Sus scrofa: one gene and its partners. The protein of the gene in region 1 interacts with the protein of each later gene in a pairwise test. Links are inferred from orthologs where the notes say so. Each region holds a gene or a part of one and is shown on either strand. Other genes may lie near its edges.

Region 1 (10,181 bases):
CCTCAGGTAGGTGGAATCATAGAGAATTTGTTTTTTTTTTTTTTTTTTTGTGACTGGCTTATTTCACTCATCATAATGTCCTCCAGAGTCCTCTGTGTTGTAGCATGCGTCAGAATTCCGTTCCTTTTTTAAGGCTATTATACCATGGTATGTATATACCATATTTCGTTTATATATCCACCCATCCGTAGATGTGAGTTGCTTCCATCTCTCTGCTGATAACCCATATAGGGTTGTTAATGAGAATTAAATATATTCCTGGCATACGGTAAGTACCTAATGTATCTGCTCTAGTGTTTTTTGGTTTTTGCTTTTTTTTGTTTTTTTTTTTTTTTTGCTTTCTAGGGCCGCACCTGCGGCATATGGAAGTTCTAGGCTAGGGGTGGAATCAGAACTATAGCTGCCAGCCAACACCACAGCCACAGCCACACTAGATCCAAGATGCATCTGCAACCTACGCCACAGCTTCCAGCAATGCTGGATCCTTAACCCACTGAGCGATGCCAGGGATCGAACCTGCGTCCTCAAGGATACTAGTCGGGTTTGTAACCCACTGAGCCACAAGAGGAACCCCATGCTATTATTTTTTTTATTGTGGGGTAGGAGTATGTTTGACTTGTTTTACATATCCACGGATGCATCTGTGAGATCCTCTGTATTTCAGGAGCTTCCACAAGGGAAGAGTTTGGAGCAGTTACCTTTTAAAGATTACAATTTGGTAATTGAAAAATAAACATTTGATAAGAATTTAAAGAATCCAGAAAAGATCCAAGCTTTCCTCTAACCAGGTTTATTAAACATAACAAGATTCTATATATAAAGTGACCTAAACCTGCTGCTTCAAAACATGATACTTTCCTAACCAGTATTTTGATAAGTCAATCCATGGAATGGCAAAAAGCAGCTTACTCTAAAATTAATAGAAAAGCACCCAATGCACATTATACGAACAGCCTAACTACTGGAACTTGAATAGTTCTGTAAGGTAAGTATGAATGAGGCCCTGTGACAGGCTGCAGGAGAATGGACACAGGGTGTCAAGAGGCCATTTTATGCACGGCCACTGTGATGCCATCGTGCTTCTGGATCATGATGTTCCTGAAAGGCAAAGTGGAAGATATTCAGTAAAAGGCTACAGGTGGGAGTCAGTGTAAGATTAAAGATGCTGTTTGGTTTAGGATACAACTAAAAAAATAGTACTTATCATTTTTCTATGTATAAAAGCAATATATAAACACAACAGAGCATTTGGGAAATACAGAAAAGTATAAAATACGAAAATGAAATTAATTTTATAATCGTATCAAAGACAACCATTATTAGTATCTTCCTTTTTTAATCTGGTGTATAGCATACATATCTTCTCATTTTACAAAACTGTGATCATAATGAGCATAGTTTTGTATTCTGCTTTTTTCATTTACTATTGTTCAGAGGACCCTCACTCAAAACATCTTTATATTTCTATTACTACACACACCGTTTCTGTTCTTGGTTTAGTCTTCCTCTGCTTTCTTTTACTGATAGTTCGTGACAGCTCTTACTCTTCATTTACATGTACCACTGTGGTCTGAAAGCACAAGAGCTTCAGAGATCAATGCAACAGCTCCTATGGTCCAAAGGGCGGAACCATCCTCCAAGTACTTTAAATGAACACAGGGCAAGCCCCAGTCAAGTTCCCCAGGGCTTTTTCTGAATCAAAAGGAAAGGAAGGGATCTGCTGACATCTACTCACCCGTTATCTGATTCTAGACACACGACAGGAATATCGGTGGGGTCTGAGGTTAGCTTAGCTGCTTGCTGGGCTAGGACAGATATCACCCCAGCATGCTCATCAGACAGGGTCCCTCGGCCTAGAAGACAGATATGGTATCATGTTGCCTGACTGTCCAAAAATGAGTACAGAGCTATAGTAGAACTAAACTCAGTTATTCACAAAAAGAAGGGTCAGCTCCTGGGCTCTTAGCTACTGTTAGTACTGTACGGACATGAAATGATTCTGCCCTGAGACTCAGCTGGTTATCTCAGTGAGGAAGCCAGACAACAGCTTTTAAGTCAATAAAGCCGTAACACTCAGTTCTCCAAGTCATTTCCATCACCATCTTCAAACACCTTCTCAAGCATGTAAGGAAGCTATAATTCAAGTCAGTCTGGAAGCAAACTGAAACCAAGACGAAATTCAGAGGTGAGACTGACAAAAAGCAGTCAGTAAGGACAAGAGACGTTGAAACTAATTAATTCCTGGAGTTCCCTCATAGCTCAGTGGGTTAAGGATCTAGCATTGTCACTGCTATGGTGCTGGCATAGCTGTGGCATGGGTTTGATCCCTGGCCTGGGAACTTTGCATGCTGTGGGTGAGGCCCTCCCCCAAAAATCCCAACTAATTAATTCCTCATGGGAAATCTAATTTCCTTTTACTGAGTTCAACTTCAAAGAATATAAAGATCTTGGCTCAAGAGTTTAGCTGTAGGATCTCCTTAACAGCATACATAACTATTCTATAAGCAATTATGTCCATTAGAACAAGCTGGTTGTTTTCAAATAGGAACAGAATTAGCTTTTTACTAATGTCTGTTTTAGCCTGTAGATAATAACTTAGGTGTGAGGTACAAAAAGTAATCACTAAGTTTACCGTATATTTCTGTATATAGAGGCAACACAAGCCCATGTACTTGAAACCAGGTCAGGTAATGTACATGCTACTATGCAGAGTTGATGAAGTTACTGTTGTTTATAAAACATTAACTGGACAGACACAATGTAGTCTTTTGGGCCTTAAAAGCTTCTTTTTTAGAATGTATATAAAATTTATATATATATATTTTTTATGGGATGGAAATCCTGTGAAATTGGATTGTTATGATCATTATACAACTACAGATGTGATAAATTCATTTGAGCAATAAAAAAATAAATTTATATATATTTTTATTAAACAGTAATTGATTTACAATGTCATGCCAATTTCTGCTGTACAGCAAAGTGACCGCACACACACACATTTCTTTTCTTATATTATCTTCCATCATGGTCTATCCTAAGAGATTGGATATAGTTCCCTGGGGTATACAGTAGGACCTCATGGTTTCTCCATTCTACATGTAATAGTTTGCATCTACTAACCCCAAACTCCCAGTCCATCCCACTCCCTCCCTCCTCCCCCTTGGCAACCACAAGTCTGTTCTTTATGTCTGTGAGTCTGTTTCTGTTTTGTAGGTAGGTTCATCTGTGGGACCTTGAAAGTTTCTTAAAGAAATTAATTTAGTTTTAGATTTCCATACTTGAATCTCAACCTTTCCATCTGTAAACCTGGCAAGCACCTCAAAAAAAAAAAAAAAAAAATCTCCCTTTTCTTCCAACTAACTGATTTGTGTATAAAACCTGAGTTACACAGACTAATTCTTTCAATTACCCTCCCTGCAAAAATTCAGAGCTTTAAAAAAATCTTGCAGAACAGAAGAGTAGTGAGCAGGGTGTCCTGGGTTTACTAGTTCTGACATTAATTAGCTGAAGCCTCCCATTGTTTACCTTTCTGGATTTCTTTCCTCATCTGCAATTTGTTACTATCTGTTGAGCATCATGTCTGGGTTCTGTGCTGAGTGTTTTACATATTTTATATGATCCTATATTATTGTGATGTAGAGGCTTTGGGGCCAGACTCAAATCCTAGCTCAATCACTTACTAGTTGTATGACCCTGGTCCAGTTACTCAACCTCTGTGCCTCAATTTCTTTATCTACCTCATAGGATTGTTACAAGGATTAAATGACTTGATATGTGGAAAGTGCTTATAATGGTGCCTGGCACATAGAGCTCAGTAAGTGCAATTCCATAATAATAATTATTATCAAACAACAACCCACTACAGAAACTGAAATTCGGAAAGGTTCTTTTTGGTCCAGGTTCACACTAGTAGTACAGGGGAGGGCTGGGGGTTGAACCTAGGTGTGTCTGAGCTTGCACCCCTCATTTTTACTGCCTACTTACTGTTCAGTGAAGTTGAACTAAAAAATAACACCATCCATCTGGCAGGGTTACTGGGGAAATTTAGCAGTCCCAAAATACATTCAATAAATGGTAACTGCTGTCATTATCTGAAGTCCTTTCTAGACTCTGTTTAGAATGATTCAAATACTATTCTAGAAGAAACAACTATGTAGTGCTAGAACTGCAAGGGACATCTCCACCTTTATAAGTATCAACTGAAAACATTCAGTTTTCTAATTTTGCTATTGGGAGATGATCTCTATTTACAGAAAAGTCCCCCAAAAGTGGCAGGGTGGCAGGAAATGCAAACTAGAGAAAGCACCCTAGGCTCCCAGTCAACATCAAGTGCTGTGCAATCCCTGGAAGGGCTGTTGTCAGATACTTACATCCCAGATTGAGTCCTTGTGAATCTGTGCACAGGACTCCAACAATGGATGGATTCTTCATTCTAATTCCAGGGACACAGGAAGAAAGAAGCAAATGATGTAGGAAAAATGGATTTAAATATAACACACACAGGCTTTCTATGTACCCAGCACTGCTGTTAAGTGCTTTAAATCAGTGTTAGTCTTTTTTCTTTATCCCTCATCCCTACTCCAAGAAAAATTACATTAAATCATAATAAGCTAACTTTAATGATGGTTAAACTAATTTCTCTCTGATGAGAGAAAAGACTGCCAGGTACTGCTAAGCTTTGGAGGGCTACAAACGTTGCAATAGCTAGGATTTTGTTGCCCTCGTTAAAAATATGTATTTTAGCCTACTCTCTCACTTGAAAGAACTGCTGAAAAGCTAACTAAAACTGGTTGCCCCATGGAGAGGAAGTGGGAAGCTGAGCGGCCCTGATGCAAGGGAGGTGTCTCCCTGTACGCCGTCTTAAACTTTTCTAATTTTGGATTTTACGTAGACACTATCTGTTCGAAAAATTTAAAGGATGTCTTTCATCTTCTTGAGCACCAAATAACTGGTTACACCAGAAGGAGGTACGCGTGTGTGTTTACGTTTACACTGAAGATACAGGTGGTAGGTACCTCCTTCCCCCAAATGAACTCGGTTCCTAAAACTCCTAAAGAACGGCCCCGCCCAAACAATTTCTACACGACAGGCGGGATTTGGGCTCGGACCCGGGACACTTGTTCCGGAGGGAGTGTGCGGAGCACCGGCGGGATTTAATTCCGGGTTACCCTCCACTCCCATCGGCGGCCCGGGGAGAGAACGTCCCCAAGAAGCCCAGCGGGCAGTCACAGCTCGCGCCTTCTGTTGCGCTCAAGGACAGGCCCGCCGCGAACCCAGGACAGGCCGACGTGGCCACATTACTTACGTGTCCTCCAAGTGCTGCTCCAAGGTTGCTTCCATCCCGCCGCCGTCCGCCGGGCGCACCACCCACGGTGGGTCTTCTCCTAGGAAACTGGTCTCCGGCTCCGCTTGGTCAGTCACATGATGCGAGCAGGACGCGGACCTGGACGGCGCCTCCAAAGGGACAAACTTCGTGGCGCAGTCTCGGCGTTTTCTCCGGGATGATGTCATTACGCGCCCTCTGCCGCCGCGAGCTGGGCGGGGTTCTGCTGCCTGGGGTGCGACCCGCGAGGGGACCGCGCGGGATGTACCCCCGGGAGGGAGGTCTGTAGTCTTCCCTTGGAGCCAGCTTCCTGGCCTGTCCCTTTGTCTCCGCCGTACAGACCTTTGGATTTCGATTCCACCGACTCCGAGAAGTCGGGCCAGGTCTGGTTGAAGTTTTACAATAATCCGGCCGGCCCCGCGGGGTCCCATCCAGGTGGTAGGGCAGGGACAGACAAGAGAGACACAGGATTCCGATGAAGGGTTCCCCAGGCTTGGAGGGACAAAGAGAGGAAGGACAAGGGACTAGAGGATGAGGCGGAACAAAATTAAAACCCCAAGCTGGGTAGGGGGGCAAGTGTTGCGATTTTTCGAAGACGTTGGTTCTTCCTCTTTGGAGAGGATTCGGGAACGTTTGAGAAAGAAGGTGTCATTGTAATAAAGACTGGGTAGGACCACTTAAAAAGTAACCTTTAAAAAAAGTTAATTACAAAAGCAGTTATAGGGAGTTCTGGTCGTGGCTCAGTGGCTAACGAATCCGACTAGGAACCATGAGGTTGTATGTTCGATCCCTGGCTTGCTTAGTGGGTTAAAGATCCGGCGTTGCGGTGAGCTGTGGTGTAGGTCGCAGACCCGGCTCGATCCCACGTTGCTGTGGTGGCTCTGGCGTAGGCGGGCTACTACAGCTCCGATTCGACCCCTAGCCTGGGAACCTCCATATGCCGCAGGAGCGGCCCTAGAAAAGACATAAAGACAAAAATTAAAAAAAAAAGCAGTTGTAAAAATAAGGAAAGAAAGCCCACCCATTGTCTTTGTCCGGAGATGACTGATAAGGCCTTGGAGAATATTCTTTCCGCCGGTTGGTTGTCTTTGCAAATGTATACTTTGTGTTATTGTTTTTTCTTTTTTAAAGCTAAGTTGACACACATATTGTACAAACAATTCTGTAGCTTATCTTTTTCACAAAATTTAGCAAAAATGTCTTTCTGACATAAAGTTCATTTACGGCATTTGTAATACTTAGAAAATATTACATATTATAGCTTAACCAACCCCTTATTAATGTACAGTTAGGTTGCTTATAGTTTTGTTGTTGTCGTTGTTATGTTTGGGTTTTGGCTGTGACAAATGCTGGATGAATATTCTTATGGCCAAATATTTGTGCAGTTTAAATTTTTTCTTATAGTAAGTTACAAGAATGGAATTATTGGGTCAAGGTTTTAAAGTCTTTTAATATACACTTACAAGTTACCCCCCAGAAAGGTGGTTCCAGTTTACACTCAGATTGGTAGCATTTTGATGAGAATGGGAGTGTGCCCAGAGGCTCACCCATCCCCCCATAAGCCTCTACCCGCTCCCTGTAATCCTCCTGGCAGCACACCTCGACCTCCCTTTTCTCCAGCCCTCTCTCCTCCAGCTTTTATTCACTTTCCAGCTTTACTCAGCTTTCACTTCTGTTCTGGGGCACAGCTTCCCGGTTCCTCTTGCCTTGAATTCAAGAGTCCCTCTTTATTCCCTAGCTGTGATGGTGAGAAACTTTCAGCTTCCTTAAAATTCCAGCCTTGAATGTCGTAATTCAGGAGTTTTAGACTCCTGGCCTAGAGAAATGATTTATATTAACTTAGGGGTTACTATAATATGCGACATTTAAATTTTAGAAAAAGCAGTTTAAAACCACTCTTAAAAGATAGCATTAAAAAACGTCGGGAGCCCGCCCACTTGTCCTGCAGTACCGAGGCAGCTGGGTACTGCAGTACCGCCCCCTTGTGGTCCATGTGGTGTAAAGCTCTGCTGGTCTAGGGCTTCTCAGCTCTGGCTTTTTTTAACCTTCGAGGCAGCGCTGTCCAATAGAAACGTAATTTTGTTTGTTTATTTATTTATTATTATTTTAATAGTTATTTCACCATACAATTTTTTTTCTACTGTACAGCATGGTGACCCAGTTACACATACATGTAGACATTCTATTTTCGCTCATTATCATGCTCCATCATTTGAGTATATGTAGTTCCCAGTGCTACACAGCAGGATCTCATTGGTAAGAAACGTAATTTTATTTATTTTTTATTTATTTATTTTTTTTGCAATTTCTTGGGCTGCTCCCACGGCATGTGGAGGTTCCCAGGCTAGGGGTCGAATCGGAGCGATAGCCACTGGCCTGCACCAGAGCCACAGCAACTCGGGATCCAAGCCGCGTCTGCAACCTACACCACAGGTCACGGCAACGCCGGATCCTTAACCCACTGAGCAAGGCCAGGGATCGAACCCGCAACTTCATGGTTCCTAGTCAGATTCATTAACCACTGAGCCACGATGGGAACTCCAGAAACGTAATTTTAAATGTCTTGGTAGCCACACTAAAAAACTTAAACAGGTGGAATTAATTTTAATATTTTATGTATCCATATACTGTGTCCAAAATACTATCATTTCACCATGTAATCAATTTAAAAAATACAGAGGTTTTTTTGTTGTTGTTGTCGTTGTTGTTTTGTTTGTTTGTTTTTTGCATTCTCCCCCCCCCCCCCCGCAGACTAAGTCTTCAAAATCTGGAGTTTATTTTACACAGACAGCATGTTTCCCTTCAGACCAGCCATATTTCAAGTGCTCAATAGCCGTGTGTGGCTGCTGGTCAGCACTGGGTAATGGAGCTTCAGGCTACCTCTGATTATCTCAAAGCCAGACCAGTGATTATAGGATTCTCAGAAAAGCTGGTGATCTTTTGGTGCTGTTAAGGCAGGTCTCTGAAGGGAGAGTGAACAAAGAGGAAGAGGAGGACGGCCGGCTCAGACATCCTCGTTGCTCTGGAGGTGGAAGGCAGGCTCTTCCACACCACCCGGTCTTTCTGTGTCCTGCTGCTGTTTTGCCTCTGCCCAGATGGGCAGAGCGAGTGAGGTGTTTTATATAAGCTGGAGAAATGCTGGGGCCTGGGGCCATGGTTAGTTGGAGTAGGTCTCTGACCCCTAAGTGTTTTCTGCTTTCTTCAGCTTGTAGCATATTTGAGGATTCTTTAGGCTTAGTTTTGAGTGCAGATAACCACTTTTGAGGTGACAGGAAAAGTCCGAAGGTACCCATATTGCCTCATTGCATTGCAAGTTTTTCTTTTTTTGTGTTTATTCTTGGTCATGCCCACAGCACGCTGATGTTCCCAGGCCAGGGATCATACCTTTGCCACAGCAGTGACCCAAGCTGCTGCAGTGATAACGCTGGATCCTTAATTGCCAGGCCACCAGGGGACTCTGCATTGTAATTTTCATATGTTTACTTTTCAAGACGGAAAGAGTGTTTTCTCCATTTCTGCATCCTGAGCACTGTGGAACCCAGTAGTAATCCCTTAAGATTTAATGAATCTTGGTGGTATTTTTGAGAAAAAGACTCTGTATTGCATAAAGGAGCTTGAAGTCCTCAGCTTTAACTACTTTTTTTTTTTGTCTTTTGAGGGCCACACCGACAGCACATGGAGGTTCCCAGGCTAGGGGTCTAATTGGAGCTCTTGCTACCCGCCTACACCACAGGCACAGCAACTCCAGATCCGAGCTGCATCTGCAACCTACACCACAGCTCACGGCAACACCGGATCCTTAACCCACTGAGCGAGTCCAGGGATCGAACCTGCAACCTCATGCTTCCTAGTCGGATTCGTTTCTGCTGCGCCATGACGGGAACTCCAGTTTTAATGCCTTTATCCTCCCCTTCCTCGCCTCTCCGTAAGCAAGCTCTTGGAAAATGGAAACCCCAGGAAGGTCTGGCACAGATTGCACATGCTTGCGTGTCCTGACCGGGGAAGGGGAGAGGAAAAGCCAGGTGAGGTGAACCAGACCTGAGACCCCAAGCCCTCTTCCCTGACCTGTCAGGAGCAGAATCCTCTGGGGGGTGGTTCCCATTTAAAAAGTGACACTCTCCTGGAAGCTCTCCCTCCCCTGGGTGCAGAGGGCTCTGCTGGGCCAGGGCTGGCCCTGTAGGTCACGCAACGCCCAGGGTTGAAGGCCTGCCATGAATGAGCCCAGAGCTGGGCTGGGGAATGGCTCTCACATGCCACCAGGGGGCACCAAAGCCACAGAAAATCCTGCTCAGCCTGGGGGACCCTGGGTGAGGGACGGGGCCCATGAGCCTCCTGAGCTAGTACAGCTTGGTGAGGAGAATGCTAGGCTAGGTGGGCGGCCTCGGAGTCGCCAGAGGTGGGATTGGATCCTGGCTTGGCCACTGCCTACGCATGTGACTTTTTTTTTTTTTTTTTTTTTGTCTTTTTGCTATTTCTTGAGCCGCTCCCTCCGCACATGGATGTTCCCAGGCTAGGGGTCGAATTAGAGCTGTAGCTGCCCGGCCTACACCAGAGCCACAGCAACGCAGGATCCGAGCCGCGTCTGTAAACTACACCACAGCTCACGGCAACTCCGGATCGTTAACCCACTGAGCAAGGGCAGGGATCGAACCTGCAACCTCATGGTTCCTAGTTGGATTTGTTAACCACTGTGCCAGGACGGAAACTCCTTACGCATGTGACCTTGAGCCTCATCTGTGACATGGGAGTACCATCACCTGCCTCATCAGGTGGTGGGAGGATGATAGGTATTTTTATGAAGAGGGCTGCTGCATTGTGGGAGTCAGTAAATAAGCTTTGTCAAATCTCAGTAAGA
Region 2 (10,405 bases), on another chromosome or scaffold:
TGTCCTCCTGGGAGCTGGGGGATCGGTCTTGATCACAGGCGGTGTGACCACGCCATCTCGTCCCTCCACTGGGCCCTCTGCTCTTGCCTGACAAGGCTGCCTGGTGGGCCCTGGGCCCAGGGGCGATGCCATTGTGCGGAGGAGAAGAGGAGAGGCCCAGCCCTCCACCGTGGGGCCCCACGAACCTTGCTGAGGTCTTTGGCGGTAACTCCGTCGTCATCCCTGCAGGGCAGCTTGTGGACGAAAGCCAGCATCTGGTACTTGGCCCTGATGAACTCTGACTTGATGGGGCTGCGTGGAGGGCACAGGAGGAAATGGGGAGAAGAGCGGGAGAGGCCAATCACCCGGCCACCTCCTGGGCCTACGTCCCCAGCCGCGCAGCCCAGCCACCACCCCTCAACCCCGACTCACTGGACTTTGTCTTGGGGGTTGGCTTTGCGCCGGCCGCTCTGCACCTGCGCGGGGTCCAGCAGGGAGTGCTCCCAGATGGAGTTGGCTCCGTTGCTGGCGAGTGTGTGCACCATCTGTGGGGAAGAGGTGCCAAGTGAGAATGCCCACTGCGTGCTGGGGGATGCTGAGCACTGGGCTGTACACGGTACCAATGGGCCTACTGTGTGCCTGGCACCCCTGCACTGTCACCCAAGGATGTGGGTCCTGCTGAGAAGCTCCGGTGAGCACCAAGGCTGAGAGGTTAGGTGCAACACCGCATGGTCAAGCTAGTAGGTGGCAGAGCTGGGATGACAGCCCAGGTGGGTGTGACTCCGCCCTGGAAGCCGCCTCTCTGGGTGAGGGCCGCGCGCACAGGGGGGAAGGGTCAGAGTTAGGCTCTGCCCCAGGTAGGTGCTGCCCCCTGGAAGCTGCAGCATCCCGACAGTCGTGGATGTGGGTGCGGGGGAGATGTGCCCATGCTCAGCACACTCTGCGGGGAAGGACGAACCGCCCAGCGCAGCCGTACCTGCAGCAGTGTGGGGGGCCAGGCGCTGTGGCGAAGGTGCTTGACGATGGAGATGTGGCGTCCCAGGCTCCGGTGCACGCTGCAGCACTCGTCACACACCAGCACACCCCTGCTGATGGAGGCCCAGCCAGGGTCTGCGGGGCGGGGGCGAGGGTCAGCCACAGCCAGACGCTGCTGAGCCCGCCTGCATGCCTGCGGTGGGTCCGTGCTCCGCTTAGGGCTTGGTGCATATTCGCTCACTCAGTCCCCTAAGGCCCTGGTGGCCGGGGCCTTGATGAGGAAGCTGAGCTCGGGCGGTGGGAGGGACTCCCCAGGGGCTGGCAGCCAGCGCCACTGATAGAGCCAAGCCCTTTCCTATCCGTCTCTGCCCCTCTGGGGAAGTGTGGTCCCCAGGGCCTATTCAGTGGGCACAGCTTCCTGTCCTGCAGCCACTGCTACCAGTCCCACAGCCCTTCCCCAGGGAGCCAGGCATTCCCTGGGGTTGCGTCCCCCATGCTACATGCCACACTGCCCCCGGCAGTGCCACATCTCTCCTGCACCCGGGCCTCTTTTGGAAGCACTGGCCCACCTGCCTGACCCATCACACCCCTCCTGGGGCTCCTACCTCTGCCCTCATCCTGGCAGGCAAGAGGCCTTTTCACAACCCAGCCTCCTGCCACTACCACTGATGGGGTGAGCTGGAGCCCCTCTTAAGGGGGACGGAGACAGCAAAGGAGCACCCAGTGTGTACAAGCTGGGTGCCCTAACTATGGTGCCTGTGACAATTGTCAGGCAAGGTGGGAAATGCTACCCCTGCTTTACCAGTGAGGAAACTGTCCCAGAGAGGTTGGGGTGCTTATTCGAGGTCATACAGCTACTGAGCGGGATTGTCCAGGCATTTAGAGGCTGGAGACCCTGCCACATCCACACCAGTTGCCGTTGCAGCCCCGAAGGGGGGCAGCCCCAAGGGGTCGAGGGCCCGGGAGCCACTCTCCACCCCCTGGGGAGAAGGGGGCCACAGTGGGGTGGGAGCTCCTGAGCTGCTTCTCAAGGGTAAGGGAGATGCCACCCATCCAGGGCCCCTTGGGAGAGGGGAGGAGACAGCTACATGCAGCTCAGGCTGCGGAAAGGTCACGGGGGAGAAAGCAGCCATTGTGCGCGCTGGAGTGGGGGCAGGGAGCCTCTCTCCCAGGACACTGCTCTGCCCAGGCCCCCGCCCAGCTCAGGGAGCCCTGTCCTGGGGGTGGGGGTGGGGGGAGCTGGCTCTGAGCCTTGCCCCTACTGCTCATGTTGTCCAGAGGGGCCCCCCAGGGGAGGGCATAGGCTTGGGGTAACGAGAGCCTCTCCAACCAGAAGGCAATGCTCAGTCCCCTTCCAAAAGGATTTACATGAAAGCTCCCCAAAGAACTGTGAGGAAACTGAGTCAGGACACTGCCATGGCGAGTGTCCCCTCCATGGAATGGAAACAGGAAGTGAAAGAGGGGCTCAGCTCTTGGGTCTGGGCTTCTGTGGGGAACCCTCCAAAACAGGGCAGAGCAATGTAGGAGGTGACCCCAAACACCTTCCTCAGGGGCTGATTCTAGGGGCCCCAGGGGAAGGGTCCCATCATCTCTGCCAAGAGGGGGCGCCCTAGAGCAAACTTTAGTGTTGGCTTTACCCAAACTGGGAGGCACCCCCAGGCATGGAAAGCTCCTTCCCCCACTCCCAAACACCACTGGGCCGGGGTCTGCCTGCCAGCCATCTCCGGTGGCAGCGGCCCAGGCAGGAAGCTGGAAATGACGCAGCCTGAATTCCTCTTGTTGAAATGGTGGGGTTTCCTGTCAGTAGGGAGCCGCCCAGGCCAGGATCATAAATGGGCCGCCCTAAGGCCTCCATCCCAGACCTATGGCCTGCTCGGAGAGGCTAGGCCCGGAAAGGCTGGCCAGATATCCGGGGCCAGACCAGACAAGGTAAGTCCCTGAATGTGACAGTGACCCAGAAACCAGGATCTGGGGAGAGTGGTCTAAGGCTCTGCTTGGCACTCTCCCAGCCTGGGGGAGAGGTCCTGTCTTCCACCGAGACCTGAAATAGGACGGATGGGCAGGGGACACTCACCCGGTCTGGGGCACACGGATGCCAGCTCAGTTCTGGATGACACAGATGGGAATCCCACCCTAACTCCCTACCTACTCCCTGTGCCCGAGGGGCCTGGGCCTACCCAGGCCGGAGCCCAAAGCCCCACCTAGGCCAGTTTCTAAGCCGAAGGGCTATGAAGGGTTTCTGAAAGTCAAATGGCGATTGTGGTTTAAGGTTAAGGGACTCTTGCCCCAAACTCGGGGCAGGAGGAGCAGGGGATGTTAAGGGTTAGGGGAGCTGGTCACCTCCTCAGTGTCCTGCCAACCTTCCCCCTGGGCTTCTGCCTCAGGGTGGGAGTCTGGTATGTGTGGGCACGTGGCAGGAGGCATCCTGGGATCATGTTAACCAGCGCTAAACCCATGGAGGCCTCTGCTAAGGTGAAGTCACGTCCCCACCCAAAGTCTTTAGCGGCTCTAGGGCCAGCAGCCAGCCTCTCCTGATCTAGGGACCAGATCCTCACCAGAGAAGAGGGAGAACCTGCCATCTTGAAAACAGGCAAGAGTAATCCATTGGGATAAAGGTCAGAATGGTGGTTGCCTTTGGAGGGCGCTGACTGGGAGAAAACACAATAAACTGTAAAGTGATGGAAACTCTCTCAATCAGAGTCGTGGTTACACAGGTATATCCACAGGTAAAAACTCATCAGGCTAAACAGCAAGAGACAGGCACTTTGATGTACTTCAGTAATACTTCAATCAAAGAAGAAAGCCCACCTGTCAGCCCACCCACCATCTATATCATGAAGAGAGAAATGAGCCTGCTGGTTCCCAAATGCTTCTAGCTAGTGACCAGCCTTGCTCACTCAAGCTGCTTGTAGGGTGGGTATCTTGGGGTCTTCACAGCCTGTGCCTGAGGCTACCAAAGTGGGAAGCCTGGATGGAGGCCCATGGCAGACACGAGGAGCAGGCCCTTGAGAGCTGAGCCAGGACTGTGTGGCAGGGGGAGGGGAGGGGCAGGAAGGGAGAACACACATTCTCCAGGGTTCCCTGACCCCTGTCCCTCTCCTGGATTCCCAAGGTAGGAAGGGACACAGATGGTGCCTGACGAGGTGGCACCAGCTGCCAGACCAGCCATGCCATGCCCAGCTGCCTCACAGCTGTTCCCTGTGTGTCCAGGCCTGGGAGGAGAGAAAGGACAGAGCCCTTTGGGGTCAGGCTGCACCTTACTTTTCAGCTCCATGACCCTGCAAATTAACCAACCACAAAAGGGCCACAACCCCACTCCTAGGGCAGATTGCAGGGCTCCTATTACAGTGAGAAGCTTATGACTTTGGGTAGGAAGCATATTCCAAGGAGGTGGCTCTGGGCCTGGGCTCCAGACTGTTGGTTTCCCTCAAGCCTCTTACCTAAGCTGCTATAGGTCCCAGACTGAGAATGCCACCCCATGCATCATAGGGTGCAGGTGCCCCTAAAAAGTCAGCTGAGGTCCTGAGAAGCATCCAGACCCTTAGGGAATGCCTACCAGACAGCATGCTAGGTGCAGGGGTTGGGTGATGAAGAAGACTTTGATGGCACCCTGCCCACCATACCACCTGCCTCTTCCTGACCTGTATTCTGGATCAGGGGAAAAGGTAGTACCAGGAGCACAAAAGGTCTCTGTGGGATGAGGACTTGGGGTACGAGCTGGGTTGGGCACCCCAACACACCAGATACATACCACTCCTCCCTATGCCCGCTGAGCATCTAGAGACTTCAGCCAAATGGTCAAAAGCAATGGAGAAAGGACAACTGCCTTGATAATGCTGCCTGTGTCCCCCAGGTCCAGAATCAGGACCACAGACTTTGGAGATAGGATAGTTTTTTTTTTTTTTGGTCTTTTTCTAGGGCCTCACCCACAGCATATGGAGGTTCCAAGGCTAGGGGTCTAATCGGAACTGTAGCCACCAGCCTACGCCAGAGCCATAGCAACGCCAGATCTGAGCGGCTGGATCCTTAACCCACTTGGCGAGGGCAGGGATTGAACCCGCAACCTTGTGATTCCTAGTCGGATCTGTTAACCACTGAGCCATAGCAGGAACTTCTGGATAGATCTTAAAAACCATTTCTATTCCAACTTCTTTACCTCAGAGTTGAGGAACCTGAGACCCTGAGGGGGAAAAGTCTTGCCATGAGTCAGAGTAAGCTGGAAACAAAGGCAACACCAAAATCCAGGCTCCCCTGATAAGATATCTACTAAGCACCCCCTCCCACTCTTACTTGCCCTTCCCACCCCCACTGTGACGTGTGTCCAGCAGAGATGCAAAAGGGCGGCCTGGGACAGGCACTGAGAAAACAAGTTCTCCTCTTAGCCCTTCCATCCCCAGACCTGCCTGCATTTGGGGGAAGGAGATAGTAGTTTCTAACTCATCAGGGGTAAGGTCGGATGACCCACCTCCTCCCCCATAGCTTCTTGGGGGCACTCTGGACCCTAACATGCCCTGAGAGGAGGCCTCAGGGTCATGACTACCCAGACTACCATGCCTCTGCCAGGCACCCACAGTTCCCAAACACTCTAGCTTGGAGACATCAGAACCACCAGAGCGTCTGTTGCTCTCAACCTGTTGGGGGTCCTGGACCTCTCCAAAGGGTGGCTGGAAGTTATGGGCACACAAAACAACACCCCACACTCATGCTTAATTGCGCCCATAGTCCCCCCTCCCTGAGTCCACCCGGTCTCCCAGCAAGATAGCTCCTTTTATAAAAAGAGAGGCCGGTCAAGGGCCAGGGCTTCCTTCCCCGGGCCAGATGCTGAGCCCCATCACCGGCAGCGTCCTCCCACATCAGAAGGAAGCATCCTCTCCAGGTCACTGCTTCTCACTCCCTCAGCAGGTCAAGGGGTTTCACCTGGACCTGACTCTGCTGGGAATAAGAGAAAAACCACGGCGACTACAGCCAGAAGGCAGGCCAGGAAGCCAGGTGAATCTCAGGAATCTAGGCACCCCTTGGCACTGCTCCCCACCCATTTCTGACCAGACTGGCCTAGGAGATGGCAAGGGGTCTGTGCTCAGGTTGGGGCAATGCCAAGCCCACCTTCCAAGCAGGCCTTACTGGAGCACAGGGGAAGCTGAATCTCGTTTCCAGTCATCAGGCCTGGGGACGCCTCAGGGGAAGATGCCCAGGCTCAAGTGGCCCTGAACACCAGGCCCTGCAAAGGGCCCCAGCCTTGGGAGCCAGGGGCAAGGAGTCCTAGGAGTAGCCACCCCGTCAAATGCTCCAGAGGAAACAGTATCCAGACCCCCCCTAGCCCATCTGCCCAGCTCTCTGCCCCTTGCCCTCCGCCACCCCAGCGGGCGTGCAGACCATGCGAGCAGCAGGTGCAAGACGCGGGGGTGGCACTGAGATGACACAAAACCTCACTCGCCCCCACCTCCTAAACCCCGACCGGCCTCGCCACAGCCCTCCTGCCACCCCAGGCTGGCGCTTCCGTTTGGATATGAGATGGAAGCGGGGGGTGCAGCCAGCTGCCCGCCTCCCTCTGACTGAGGGGTGGGAGGCGGCGCCGGGAATGTCCTTTCTCGCTTGTCCACGGACACGAGGAAACTGGGGCCCCCAGGACGGCCCTCCCGCCAAGGACGAGGCTCGGCAGCGGCCGGGGCGGGGGCCGAGGCCGGAGGCCGCAGCCCCCAGCCCCGCCCCGCCCTCCGGCCCCGCACGGCGCTCCCGCCAGGCCCCGGCGCCCGCCCGGCGGCGCCTCGGTGCGCGGTCCCGCCCCCGGCCCGGCCCCGCTTACCCGGGGCGCTGCAGTCCGCACACACCTCCGCTCGCGGCCCCTTCCGGGACATCCTCAGCGGCGACGCGGCCGCAGCCCTCTGGGCCAGCGTGGGGGGCGCGGGCGGCGGGCCCGGGCGGCGGCGGCCCCTGCTGCCCGGCCCGGCTCCGGCAAGGCCCCGGCTAGGCTCCGCGCGCCCGGCCAACCGTCCGCCCCCGGGGCTGGCCCGGAACCCGCCGTGCCCGCCCGCCCGCTCGCCCTCGGGCGCCCTCCGCCCCGCGCCGCCCCGCGCCGCCCCGCCGCCGCTCGCCGCTCGCTCTCTCCGCCCCCTGCGCGGCTCTCGGCCGCTCCTGCAGGAAGCGGCGCAGGCCCGGCCCACCGGGGGAGGGGCAGCCTGCACACCCGCCCCACCGCCGGGCCCTGCCGGCCGCGCCTCCCGGAGAAAGGAAGCCGGGAGCGCGGGCGGGAGGGGGTGGGGGCGTTTAAAGGGGCCGCGGCCGCCGCCGCCGCCGCCGGGCCCGCGCTGCAGCGTCGCCTGCGCCCTGCACTGGGCTCCGGCGCGCCCCTGTCCCTGAGGCTGTGCGAGCTAGCCCCACAGCCCCATCCCCTTCACTGAGACGGAAGCTGGCCCGGGGAGCTTGAGCCCAGGGACAGTGACCCCTGGGGATCAAAGAAGAGAGTAAGGAGCTGAAGGCCCAGGCCCCCCTCCTCATCCAGAGGCTGTGGTTCGGGGTAACGTTCCTGTCTCTGTTTGGGGTGAGTTGTGCGTCCTGGTCCGCTGTGTGTTCACATCTGTGTGTCCAGGTGTTTGTGTGGTCACACTCTTGTTGACTACGCACACCGCCAACAATATGGACGCCCAAGTGCCAGAGGTCATGCAGTGTATACCCCTGCCTCCGAGCTGAATAAACATCTATCCCTCCTCCCGGCTTCCATCCAGAAATGAAAGAGTGTGGACTGTTTTTGAAGACCTCCTGAGCAGTGACCACTGTGCCTGTGTACAGTAATACCCACTTGGCATCGGTCTTGCATACATCATTGGTGTTTCTGAGCCACGGGAAGTCTGCGTGTCCAGGGCACAAGCATATAACATACAGGGGCCTTTTTTGCGGTGGTTTTTCCTCCTGGACTTCACACAGAGACTCGTTGGAGGATGGGGGACAGGGAGAGGAGGCAGCAGGCCACACGTGGGTGCACCCCAGCACTGAGCATGCTCCCCCATACACGTGTGCCCCACGTGCACCCAACCCCCATCTTGCAGCAAGAAAGGCTAAAGCGCTGGGTTTGTGGAGAGAGGGCAGGGGTGCTAAGGCCCAGGCCCAATGGGTCCTGATGAAGTGGTGACACGATTAAAGGAGGGTTCCCCAGTGGCAGGCGGGGAGTCCTGCTTAGTAACAAGGGGTGGGGGTAGGAGGCGAGTCCTTGGGCAGGGGTGCAGGAGTTGGTTGATTTTAAACCAGCGGTGCCAGAGCAGCAGTGACTTGTGGGTGGGCAGGCTGCTTCCCTGGGGGAGACAAGTAATGCTCATGAGTCACACCACCCGAAATACATGCAAAGCTGCCTCCATCGCCTTTCTCTGCAGCCCAGATTGACAAGTTTGTTTGAAATCGCGATCCACGGGGTATATTTATAATCGCACCTTAAAAAAATCTCCTTGCAGTCTTCCCCTCCCCCCCCGTAGCCAGCCGTTCAGCTTGCAGGGCTTCTGGGAGCAAAGATACCTCGCGGTGGGGGGGGGGGGGCACCACCTGCCGCCCGGTGCTGCACCCCCCACCCTCAGGAGTCCGTCCGCCGAGTTGGTGGTCCCACCCCTGGCGATGGGAGGAACGGCCAGGAGGCACGCGCGCGCGTATACACACACACACACACACACACACACACACACACCGCACAGCCCTTGAGCGGTGGCCGCCCGTTCACCCCCGATCGACCCCCAGCTATGGAATTTCATTTATTAAATGTCGAGGCGGCTGCTGGCAGCCCCATAGCTCGACTGTCTTTGTTTCTCTGCTGTGTGGGCGCGTCTCGAGCACGTGGCAGCTAGAGAGCGCGCAGGCGAGGAAAAGCGACCTGGGTTTAGAGTCCAGGGCTGCGGGACCAAAAAGAGAAACTGGCTGCCGGGAGGATAGGGCCCCCAGTCCAGGCTGAGGTCCCTTCCTCCTAGAGCTCCAAGCCTTTCCAGGGGAAGAGGCATGAGTCACCCTGTTCCTTCAACCCCACTAGCCCCATCTCCTGGTTGGCCCTGGGACTACCTGGGAGTGGCCCAAGCACGGATCCACTCTCCAAACTTTGTTCCTGAAGCCCCCAGCCTCGCTACAGCCGAGCTTCTAGGCCTGGGGCTAGGGGTAAAAGGATTTCAGCAGGATCTCCCTTTGGCGACGTCGCCTCTTCAGGAAACAAGGCAGTTAAAAGAGAAATCACAAGGTTCTAAAAACAATTTAACGGGGAAAAAGTACAGGCATTCTCCGGGCCACTCCTAGTCGTCCCTTCCCAGCTCCAGCCTCCTCCCCAACTCAGGCTGCAGCCACGACACTCTGCTGACCCCTCGTGGTGGAGCTGGGCAGCGGTCCCCGGCTGCTGGAGATGGCAACTGGCTCCTCCCGGGCTGAAGAAAGGGGCGAGGCAGTCCACTCCTCCCTCATCCTTTCCCGCCCAGGGCTGGCACTGCAGGGTGTGGAGTAGGAAGGAGAGAAGACCACACAAAGAAACCTGACAGAGGCTTTGAGAGTTTGCAAGCTTTTGCTAGCGCCTCCCACACAAACGCTTCTTGGATTGTTCTATGTAGGGCTGGTATGGAATCCCTTATGCCTGTCTTGTTCTAAGGTGGGCTCAGGAAGGCACTGCGCCTGGTCCTGCCACCTGTCCTAGTCGGCCTGGTTGGGGAAGGGATGTGCCAATATCAGGGGCAGTCACTATCCTTAGCTCACTCCAGGAGGTAGTATTTAGAGTCATATTTTAGAGGTGAGCAGTATGAGAAACCAGAAAATTTAAGCAATTTGCTTAAGGTCAGGCGTTTGGTAGGGAGGATTTCAAACTCAGGTTCTCTCAGACTCCCAGTCCCTCCTCCCTCCAGGAACTGGGCCAAGCTACTAGGTCCTTCCAGTTCTTGCAATAGGCAGTCCCAGAGGGCCATTTCACTTTTACCATAGCCTCTGCAGGCACCTTTCTGGAAAGACTTCTCTGCCCTGAGGTTATCCAGGAAGAAGACAAGCTCTGGAGTCAGTCACTTTCTCTCCTGAGGGGACATGGGAGGAGGTGGGAACTGCCACCTGCTGCTGTCTATGCCCAGCCCCACTCGGGTCCTTGCAGAGAACAGTATGGGGGAAGAAGAGTCTGTCCTCCTGGCTTTAACGGACATCCTCTTTCTAATGTCAAATGTGGTAGATGGAGTTTAATTTCAAAAGGCAGGAAATATAAAAAAATATATATATATATAATAAAAGGCAAGGAAGACTCCTATGTAGTATTTTAGGTGCCAGATTCCTGATTGGTGCAATGACCCATGGCACTAACACCCCGCACCCTTCTCGGGAGTCCTGTCAATCACTCTTTTCTTGGAATGTGGATCCCTGCTCACGTTCCATCGGGACCCAAACTCAATACCGAAGGCCACACCTTTCCACACTCCCTAATGCTTGAGCAAGGCCTGTAACCCCCTCCTCCTTCCCC
Region 3 (10,192 bases), on another chromosome or scaffold:
ACTTTCATAAGCCGAGGGGGAGGCCCTAAAAAAAGCAATGTCTCCTTCTCTCTCAGCTCAAAGAGCATGTTCTCCTCCTCCTATCACCAGGATTGAAAACTTCACTTCCTTCAAGACACAAGGCATCCATCCATCACTTATGATGGAGGATAATGAGAAAAAGAATATGCATATGTGTGACCAGGTCACCTTGCTGTACAGTAAAAAACTGACAGAACACTGTAAACCATCCATAATGGAAAAAATAAAAATCACTTAAAATTAAAAAAGAAAAAAATTGAAAGAAACTCAGGCACAGCACAAGACTATCAAAAAATGGAGAGGGGAACCCAATTGAAAATCAAAAGGAAAATGAAGAGTGTACACCAGTTACCAACAGAATACAAGTGAAAACTAGAGCCAACATGCAGCAACATTAATTGTATACAGTATGTATTATACTGCAAATGTAACTATGCTTTACTTCATTTTCTTGATCTTTTGTAATAAGCATGTATTTCTTCTGTAATTAGAAAAAAAAACAGCTAAATCTTACAGTAAAAAGATTTTCATATTAAAAACCACACAGGTCATAGAACTTCAACTACTAACTCCTGCAACATTTCATGATAAAGGAACTAGTAAGCACCTATCAATCAAAAACATGAAAGGTTATCTTGATACCTAAGAAATTAGTTATCACCTTTCAGTGGCCAATTTCAGGAACTGAATAGACAACCAGGAACAGCTTGTTCTGGCATGAGCTCAGTGCTTAGCTCAGCACAAAGTTAACCAAGGTAAATACATTTTAACAAAAATAAAACTCATAGTCCCTCCCTGACATTTTTTTGTTTATACCTTTTTGCAAATTACCAAAAATCAAGCTCTACATATCACAACTCAAGCCTTCAGTCTAATTGCCACACTCTTGAAAACTCCACCTACAAAAAATTACCTCTAAGGTGCTTATCTTGCTGCTACATCAAACCTCATACTTTGGCACTTCCTAAAATTTGTAGTATGGTCAATTTATTCTGCCTTAAAAATTACATTTAAAACAAAAATCCAAAAAACTGAGGTGACTTCAGTAGTTTTGAGAGTCGAGGGGATTATTTAAATCAGTATCTAGTTAATGCCTTTTGGGAATTCCCTGGTGGCTGAACAGTTAAGGATCTGGCCTTGTCATTGCCCTGGCATGGGTTCTACCCCTGGCCAGGTGCATAGGCTGGGGGGCGGGGGGGGGGGGGTGTAGAGTCTGTGGTAGTTTCAAAGGAATTATTCACCTGAATTGATTCTTGGGAATGAGTTGATTAATTCACAGTAAATTTTATCTATCTCCCTCTTGGTCCAGACAGCTAAGCTGCTCATGCACCAGATATGGGAGGTAAATTCTGTTAATGGGATTAAGTAACTGTCAAGATCTGGCCCGAATTTATTCAAGATTGCCTATTCTGGTAACCACAGTAGTTTAAAAATAAGAAATGTATTACTACTGGCAACCTGTGTTAAAAACTCTTAATCCAGAATGCCTTTCCCATTTTCCTATCTTGAAACCGCACCAGAATTCCTGGGTACAAGTTTCAACATCTCTAATACATCCTATACACTGTATTTCAACAGCTAGCCAACCTAAAATATAGTTTAAGATCAAGCGGTTTTTTATAAAGCAAATTTTATCATTCAAATAAAAGGAAAGGCAACTTTGTGTAAAAAACCTCAGGAGCCCCCCCCCCAAAAACCAAAGACACTTCATTCTGAACCTAGAGAAGTTACTTTAACCTACTTTGTAGTGACCAGTAGGTGGTGCTCAAATCAGACAATCTGGTATAATAGACAATGTAGACCAACTGTGTGTGGCCCTGCTCCTCTTCAGAACTGAGTTACTTTCTGTAGTTTAAGGGCGGGGGTTGGATTTAAAATCCTCCAGCTTTGTCAGATTTGCTGTTCCATCAGCTCCACTTGACAGCCAGCAATTCTTAACGCCATTTTGTCTCCATCTTCAGTCTTTTCAAACCAAAGGCTAAGAAAGTGGAGCTGGCCTCAGGGATGTTTGGTTAAGTGATAAAGGAAAATACATCTTCCAACTGCAAAGTTCTCATCTACATACTTAATTGGACACTTAAGCAAAATTAGCAAAAAAAGCCATATAGAATACATCTGGTGATTTCACCAAAATTCCAGCTGGGTAAATTTCCCTTTAATCTGAAAAGCCAAGCCAATATCACAGAATTATAGACTGCTTCATCAAATACACAAGTGTACTCAGACTTAACTACCCCAACTCAGGTCCCTCAATTGTTGTCAACACCCAAGGATATTAACCATGACCCTTTTTGAGCCATTTTCAGATTCTGACCTTCCAGCAAGCAGTGTTGTAAACAGCTGTTAACTTACACGTTTCCAAACTTCTTCACCCTACCATACACTTAACTGCAAAGGGCCCTTCTATCACCATAGTTCCTCAAAATGCTTCTTTAATCTTCAGTATGGCAATCTCTTCCACCAACCTTGTTCATTAGATAAAAACCTCTATTCAGAATTTCTACTTAAGTAACAGGAAGTGCACTTCCAGCATTTTACTTTTTCTAGACTCTTTGATGCCCCAAGCAGGGTAAGAGCTCAATACTATTGAAACCCCACATTACTCCAGTACTGTCAATGTGATTCTACATTCCCCATGACTGGGAAACAACTTTTGACTTACTCAATTTATGAACCTATATAGTCTTATGCAACATAACCTTTCACAATTTGAGGTTCTTACAACCTAGCTTACATAAAGTCATTGTTTGCTTATCTATCCTAACCTATTAAGTGTTGTGCCAACACTTGGCTCTGTAATTAAGCAGATTTGAGTTCTCTGTAGACAGTCTTGAGAAACATGAAGCTCATACCCAGAAAAAAACATCCACAAATCTTAACACTAGAAATAGGTTATGACCAGCCTTTACCTTCATAGGAAGTTACTCTGTTGACCAAAAGAACACACAAGTTTCTCATTAAACTTTTTTTAATGGGTCTCAAAATTCTGTGACAGATTTTTGGTCAAGTTGTTTCCATTAAAAAGTACTGATTTTAAAAACTAATAACTTAAAAACTGCCACACACAAAACAAATGGTCCACAAAACATTCTCCTTTCCTTCTGAAGGTTTTACGATGCATTGTTATCATTAACCAGTCTTTTACTATTAAACTTAAATGGCCAATTGAGACAAACAGTTCTGAGACCGTTCTTCCACCACTGATTAAGACTGGGGTGGCAGGTATTGGGGATAATATTCATTTAGCCTTCTGAGCTTTCTGAGCAGACTTGGTGACCTTGCCAGCTCCAGCTGCCTTCTTGTCCACAGCTTTGATGACACCCACAGCAACTGTCTGTCTCATGTCACGAACAGCAAATCGGCCTATTAAAACAAAAATTAAATCACCATGAGAAACACTTTCTCTACATAACTGCTTTTCCATTTTTACTGAAGCTTAATTACACTAAAAAGGCACTCTTACCCAGAGGAGGATAGTCAGAGAAGCTCTCAACACACATGGGCTTGCCAGGAACCATATCGACAATGGCAGCATCACCAGATTTCAAGAACTTGGGGCCATCTTCCAGCTTTTTCCCAGAACGACGATCAATCTTCTCCTTCAGTTCAGCAAACTTGCAGGCAATGTGAGCTGTGTGGCAATCCAGCACAGGTGCGTAACCAGCACTGATCTGGCCAGGATGGTTCAGGATAATCACCTTAGGGAGAAAATTTGCATTTAGCACATTTTAGACATTTAGACAGTTAAGGTTCTGGCAGTTTAAAAACCTGTCACTGAAGTGTTACCTGAGCTGTAAAGCCAGCTGCTTCCATAGGTGGGTCATTTTTGCTGTCACCAGCCACATTGCCACGACGAACGTCTTTGACAGACACGTTTTTGACATTAAAGCCCACGTTGTCCCCAGGAAGGGCTTCACTCAAAGCTTCATGGTGCATTTCAACAGACTTGACTTCAGTTGTAACATTGACTGGAGCAAAGGTGACCACCATGCCAGGTTTGAGAACACCGGTCTCCACTCGGCCCACAGGGACTGTACCAATACCTGAAGTATTCACAGCACAGCATAATTATCTCGTATGAAGACAAACATCACTGCAACCCATACCAGCTGAGTGTAACGTTCAACTTACCACCAATTTTGTAGACGTCCTGGAGGGGCAGGCGCAAGGGCTTGTCAGTTGGACGAGTTGGTGGTAGAATGCAATCCAGAGCTTCAAGCAGTGTGGTTCCACTGGCATTGCCATCTTTACGGGTGACTTTCCATCCCTTGAACCAAGGCATCTAAAACACAAGATCATCAATTAGTGTTTTCAAACTTATCCCTTCCCAGACTTAAGTTTTGAGAACTCATCAAAACCACTTACATTAGCACTTGGCTCCAGCATGTTGTCACCATTCCAGCCAGAAATTGGCACAAATGCTACTGTATCAGGGTTGTAGCCAATTTTCTTAATGTAGGTGCTGACTTCCTTTACAATCTCTTCATATCTCTTCTGGCTGTAGGGTGGCTCAGTGGAATCCATTTTGTTAACGCCAACAATGAGCTGTTTCACACCCAGGGTGTAGGCCAGAAGAGCATGCTCACGGGTCTGCCCGTTCTTGGAAATACCTGCTTCGAATTCACCAACACCAGCAGCAACAATCAGGACAGCACAGTCAGCCTTTAAAAAAGAAAAAAAGGCCACACCCTGTGAAAACCTCTCCAAAAAGGACAGATCCATGGTTTCGCCAATTTATAGATAACTCAAAATGTTACTCTCAGGAGTTCTTAATCCTACAAACCTGGGAAGTGCCTGTAATCATGTTCTTAATAAAGTCTCTGTGTCCTGGAGCATCAATGATGGTCACGTAGTACTTGCTGGTCTCGAATTTCCACAGGGAGATGTCAATGGTAATACCACGCTCACGTTCAGCCTTTAGTTTGTCCAAGACCCAGGCATACTTGAAGGAGCCCTTTCCCATCTGCAGGGATTAAGAAGGGTTACTCGGTAACTAAACTCCTTAGTCCCACTTGGAAGCAATGCTAGGTTTCACTTCCATCTCCTAAACTTGGCTGGAGTTAAGCCACTTAGCAAACTTTGCAATGTACTAGTTCAAGTCAGATATACACTAGTTTTAGAGAACTACCACTTAATTTGCTGACGTTACTTTACCGACCTCCGCAGCCTCTTTTTCGAACTTTTCGATGGTTCTTTTGTCGATCCCACCGCATTTGTAGATCAGATGGCCAGTAGTGGTGGACTTGCCCGAATCGACGTGTCCGATGACGACGATGTTGATGTGAGTCTTCTCCTTTCCCATTTTTGCTTAGCTTTTAGCGATGGCTTTCACGACACCTAAGACGACAAAAACCTTCTTTAAACTACTGTCCCGACGACCGGAGACTCAGGCACAACCCCAACAGCCAAGGGCAAACTCCAGGGAGCATTAGCACCGGCGCCCTGCGGGCCCTGCCCGGCCTACACCCAGCGAACGGGGCCGCCCCGGCGCCCAGCCCCTCCCCCACCCGGGCCGCGAGTCCCGGGAAGCGGCGCGGGCAGCACCGCCCGGCCCTTTGTGCGCCGCCCGCCGTCCGCGTCCTCCATCTTGAGACCGGGAGCGGCCATCTTTCCGCGCTCGCAGCCCGCCCGGGCGGGGCGCTGGGTCTCCGACCGCCCGCCCCGCCCCGCCGCGGCCGTCTGCCCCGGGACCGCCGGGCACGGAGGCCACCTTGGGCGGCCTCGGCTGGGCCGCCCTGGCAGTAACACGCGGCTGCCGGCCGAACTCGAGCGCGAAGACAGACGGGGCGGGCGCGAAGGCGCGGATCGCACGCGGCGGCCACGGCGCCCCAGCAGGCCGCCACCGGGCACGCGGTAGGGAACCGCGAGAGCGGAGGGCCTCGAGTTCTCCACCTCCCCCCGCCCGCAGCTCGGAATCAGGACCAGGGCGCAGAGCCCTCTACGCGCGGGGGGCCGGGAGGCACGCTAAGGCCGTGGCCACCGGCGGAGGCCATGCGGACGGAGGCCACACCCGTACTCACCTGTGTCCTGGCGGCAAACCCGTTGCGAAAAAGAACGTTCGCGGGGACCACGGCGCTTATATATGGTCCTCCCCCACCCTCGGGGAAAAGGGCGGAGCCAGCACACGACACCACTTTCCCAGTTTACCCCGCGCCACCTCCACCCGGCACCGGTTCCACCGCCGTCCCCTCCCCCCATCTTCGGGGACCGTGGGCGATGTGCGTTCAGCCCACTGACGAGCACACGGCGCCCGGCGCATGCTCCTCTCAACCAGGAGGATGACGACTGCTGGTGGGTGGGAGGCGGGGTCGAGCGCTCACTCGGTTCTAGGTTTAGTGGGAGTTTATCGACGGTCCCTGGGATTTCCCTGGCTGAGGAGAGTCCTCCTTTTGTATGAATTACTCTCCGCACAGCTGGGGGGTGGGGCGGCGGGGAGGCGTCCAGAATCTTCCCTGAACCGGTCGTAGCTTAACTGCAAAGTTGGACCGAGATGGGAGCCCTTACCCGGCAGTACCCCACCGGTCCTCAGTCTTGCGGTCTCGCAGGTTAAGGACTAACCCCTGGAGCCGCTTCCTCTGCCGGGGCTTCTCCACCGCCCTTGCCGTCCGCGCCCCTTCCGGCTGGAGAGGGAGGCGTAAAAGGCCGGGGAACCGCGGCGGCAGGGGCCTCGGGGCGGTCTTCAGGGCCGAGAATCCGCGAGTGGCTCAGTTTGCTGACCAACAGCCTGGCGAACAGGCTCCTGCGCTGACCTCTTGGCTTTTTCCATTCAGTTCTTTTATCTAAGTTCGTTCTACACACCACGTGGTACTCCAGACGTCCAGTTTTTGAGTTTAGAATAGACTTAAGTACTACAGTTTTCTTTACTTCTAATCCTAATTTTATTACGTTTAAGACCCTGAGTGTGTGTCTACCCTCCTATTAACATTTTTTTTCCAGTGTATACTCTTGGTTGCAAGCATGAAAAACCTAAAAAGAATTTTTTGAGTTCAGTGCTTATACACGATCTCAAGTAGAGACTAAGATCTACAGCGCCAGGAAGCTTATCCACCCAATTTACTACTCCAACGTTTGCTGTGAAATCACTGTTTCTCAAAAATGGCCTATCCCATTTGAATAAACGGCTTCATCTTTTGTCGTCCTATCCATTGTGACTGCATTTTAGGCATAAATCCAGGGCAAGACAAGATGAGGCCTTTTTGGTTGGCAATCAGGCAGATATTCAAAAATATTCCTGAAGAAAGAGGAACCTTTATTTTAAATGAGCTAATTACTAGATCGTCTCTTCCACGTGTAGAGCACTACTGCAACTTTTTGAGCCAATCTATCAACAAATATTTGAGAACCTACTATGTGGCCAGAGCTAAGAGTGGCTCCGAAGCATATGCAAAAGAAATACTTCCTTTGGGGGAAGAAACCCACAATCTAATTGGAAAAGGGAAACTAATATATAGAGCAATGGGAAGTAGTTAAAAGCAAATTTGTATGGTGCTTCCTTACTTTCTATTCCATTGTAGAATCTAGTTTTTCCAGTCCTTTTAGTTTCTTTTCACCATCCAATAGCTTATTTTCTTTTTAAAAGGTTTTCTGAAATAGTTTTCCTGTATCTTTTACCATTCTTTGTAGATGTAAATTTCTTTTTTTTTCTTTTTTTTTTTTTTTTGTCTTTTTGCCATTTCTTGGGCCGCTCCCGCGGCATATGGGAGGTTCCCAGGCTAGGCGTCTAATCGGAGCTGTAGCCGCCGGCCTACGCCAGAGCCACAGCAACGCGGGATCCGAGCGGCACCTGCGACCTACACCACAGCTCATGGCAACAGCGGATCCTTAACCCACTGACCAAGGGTAGGGATCGAACCCGCAACCTCATGGTTCCTAGTCAGATTCGTTGACCACTGCGCCACGACGGGAACTCCCAAGATGTAAATTTCTAAAAAAAAAAAAAAATTCAGGTTTAAGAGTTTGTATTCAGGTTTAAGAGTTCCTGCTGTGGCAAAGTGGGTTAAGGACCTTCCTGTTGCCACAGCTGTGGTGTAGGTTGCAGCTGCAGGGATGGGATTTGATCCCTGGTCTTTTTTTTGGCCAGCAAGTGAGGCCAAAAAAAAAAAAAAAAAAAAAAAGTTCGTATCCTTGTTTGAACTTTGAGATCGTTTTCATGAAAGAAACTAAGCCATGTAAAGTTTCTCTAGGAACATATATAACTAATCTTTTTCTAGCAATGAAAGCCTTTTCAATAATGCCTATATTTCTAGCTTTTTTTTCACAAATTCTTTTTTTCACAATTCATTTTCCTAGTGAACTTACCCAATCATATATATGTGGGATGAAATTATCTTGATATGCTAGTCCATGTTTGTAATAAGATAAAGATGTGAGAATAGAGTTCCCATCATGGCTCAGCGGAAACGAGTCTGAGCAAGCAGGTCCAATCCCCGGCCTCGCTCAGTGGGTTATGGATATGGCATTGCCATGAGCTGTGGTGTAGGTTGCAGGTGGGGCTCAGATCTGGCGTTGCTGTGGCTGTGTGGCTGTGTGGCTGTGGTGCAGGCCAGCAGCTGCAGCTCTGATTGGACCCCTAGCCTGGGAACCTCCACATGCCATGGGTGTGGCCCTAAAAAGACCAAAAAAAAAAAAAAAAAAAAAAAAATAGTGAAAACTAATCACTAGCAATAGAATAATTCAAATACCTTTGTTTGTATTTATTGCCTTGGAAACATTAATGGCTAGTCTCTTTGGAATTAGATTCCCACAATTAGCCATATTTTGTTTACCACAGTTATATTAACTGCATAGTGCTATTTCAGATTAAGATCAGAGTGCCACACTAGATTTAAAATTTTCCGTTTGGTTACCATGCTTTCTTTCCATATACCTCCAATAGTTTAGGTTTGTACATTGTTGGACATAATACCCTAGGACTGGGAAAATTTTGAAAACGGTAAAAAAATAGTTATTTAGTGACAGAAGGGAAGGAAGCAAAGACTAAATACAAAAGTTGAATATTTCAAAGTTTTACATAGAATCCAGAGTTGTAGTTAACATCTAATCTAAGAAAAGTCACGATGAAAATGGACTTTGGTAAGAAAGAAAAGCATCGAGTATAATTTTAGTTTAGAAAAAGTGAGAAAAATGATTTCTGTAAAATACGCCCAGTTCATTAAAAGTTGTTCCCAAGGCCCTGCGCCTTCAGATAAGAGCATGTACACTTCATAAATACTTTATAGAGAATCCTTTTCCAATAGCACCTATGGAACAGCAAAATTCTGCATTAGTTCTTGATTTATGTACATAACCTGCTGGGCACCAAGGACTGGGGTGGTCTTGCTCACGCTCCGAAAATGGCTGAGATTTGGGGGGACTGGAGGGAACTCGAGCCATACTGTGAGTTTGGTTAGACGCTGTCCGAAAGCCTTTTCTCCACGCAGGGTTCACATTTATGCTCTCAGGGAGGCGGGAACGCGCGTCCCGGGGAAGCCCGCGCGGCTGGGGGCGCACCCTAGCAGCTAGGCAGGACGACCAAGGCGGCGGGGTCAGGGCGGGGCCCCACAGGCTGTCCCGCGCCCGCGCCTCCAGCCGCCCGCGCGCTCCGGCATCCGCGGGTCTGCGGCGCCTTCGGGGACGTGCGGGCTGCGCTCCCTGGGACCGGGGTTGCCAGTCCCCTCCCGCCCCCTCCTGGAGGTCACTCGCTTCGGTCCTCTGACTGCGGAAGGAAACGCCTGGGAGGAGGCCGAGAACCCCACGTGGCTTGGGGTGCCGGACGGTTTCCGTCACCGTGGCGTGGCCTCTGAAAGACGAAGCAAATCTTGTTCTTTAAAAAAAAAGGATACCTTTCCCCCAGACTCTCTGTTTTGAGTATAATTCTAGCGCATTTTTTCCCCACGATGTTACAGCAGTTACAGTATGCCTTTTTCTAACTTTAGATGTTAAACCGGTAACAGTAACTTTGTTGAGGCTTGTTAATGTGTTTTGGGGTCGCACTCTAAGGTTGTGTTTTGCTTAAGATTTTCTTTAAAGTTGCTTATACCATTTAGAGTAGCAAGCTGTTAAAATACATTGTTTTCCCTAAAAGGAGGGAAAAAGGATCTTGGCAGTAACTAAATAAATGTACTTAGTAAAAGGGAAACCAGTTATAGTTCTTTGATATTTCTGTAGTAATTGTGTTCACCAAGCATCTTTT

The links.
Region 2: the proteins of LAMTOR5 (region 1) and GIT1 interact in a two-hybrid assay, tested with the Homo sapiens proteins (2 studies listed by BioGRID and IntAct). The link is inferred for Sus scrofa from reciprocal best matches to the Homo sapiens genes LAMTOR5 and GIT1.
Region 3: the proteins of LAMTOR5 (region 1) and EEF1A1 interact in a two-hybrid assay, tested with the Homo sapiens proteins (2 studies listed by BioGRID and IntAct). The link is inferred for Sus scrofa from reciprocal best matches to the Homo sapiens genes LAMTOR5 and EEF1A1.

Annotation. Positions count from the first base shown.
Region 1 is NC_010446.5:109,718,128-109,728,308, reverse strand, and holds LAMTOR5 (ragulator complex protein LAMTOR5), read right to left. Parts: upstream 5,646-10,181; 5' UTR 5,515-5,645; coding exon 5,309-5,514; intron 4,436-5,308; coding exon 4,374-4,435; intron 1,854-4,373; coding exon 1,736-1,853; intron 1,099-1,735; coding exon 1,038-1,098; 3' UTR 31-1,037; downstream 1-30. UniProt on the Homo sapiens protein: As part of the Ragulator complex it is involved in amino acid sensing and activation of mTORC1, a signaling complex promoting cell growth in response to growth factors, energy levels, and amino acids.
Region 2 is NC_010454.4:45,776,688-45,787,092, forward strand, and holds the start of GIT1 (ARF GTPase-activating protein GIT1), read right to left. Parts: upstream 6,931-10,405; 5' UTR 6,810-6,930; coding exon 6,758-6,809; intron 1,090-6,757; coding exon 956-1,089; intron 525-955; coding exon 412-524; intron 292-411; coding exon 186-291; intron 1-185. UniProt on the Homo sapiens protein: GTPase-activating protein for ADP ribosylation factor family members, including ARF1.
Region 3 is NC_010443.5:92,417,833-92,428,024, reverse strand, and holds EEF1A1 (elongation factor 1-alpha 1), read right to left. Parts: upstream 6,075-10,192; 5' UTR 6,042-6,074; intron 5,359-6,041; 5' UTR 5,324-5,358; coding exon 5,180-5,323; intron 4,985-5,179; coding exon 4,805-4,984; intron 4,684-4,804; coding exon 4,387-4,683; intron 4,304-4,386; coding exon 4,153-4,303; intron 4,065-4,152; coding exon 3,808-4,064; intron 3,720-3,807; coding exon 3,485-3,719; intron 3,385-3,484; coding exon 3,260-3,384; 3' UTR 2,972-3,259; downstream 1-2,971. UniProt on the Homo sapiens protein: Translation elongation factor that catalyzes the GTP-dependent binding of aminoacyl-tRNA (aa-tRNA) to the A-site of ribosomes during the elongation phase of protein synthesis.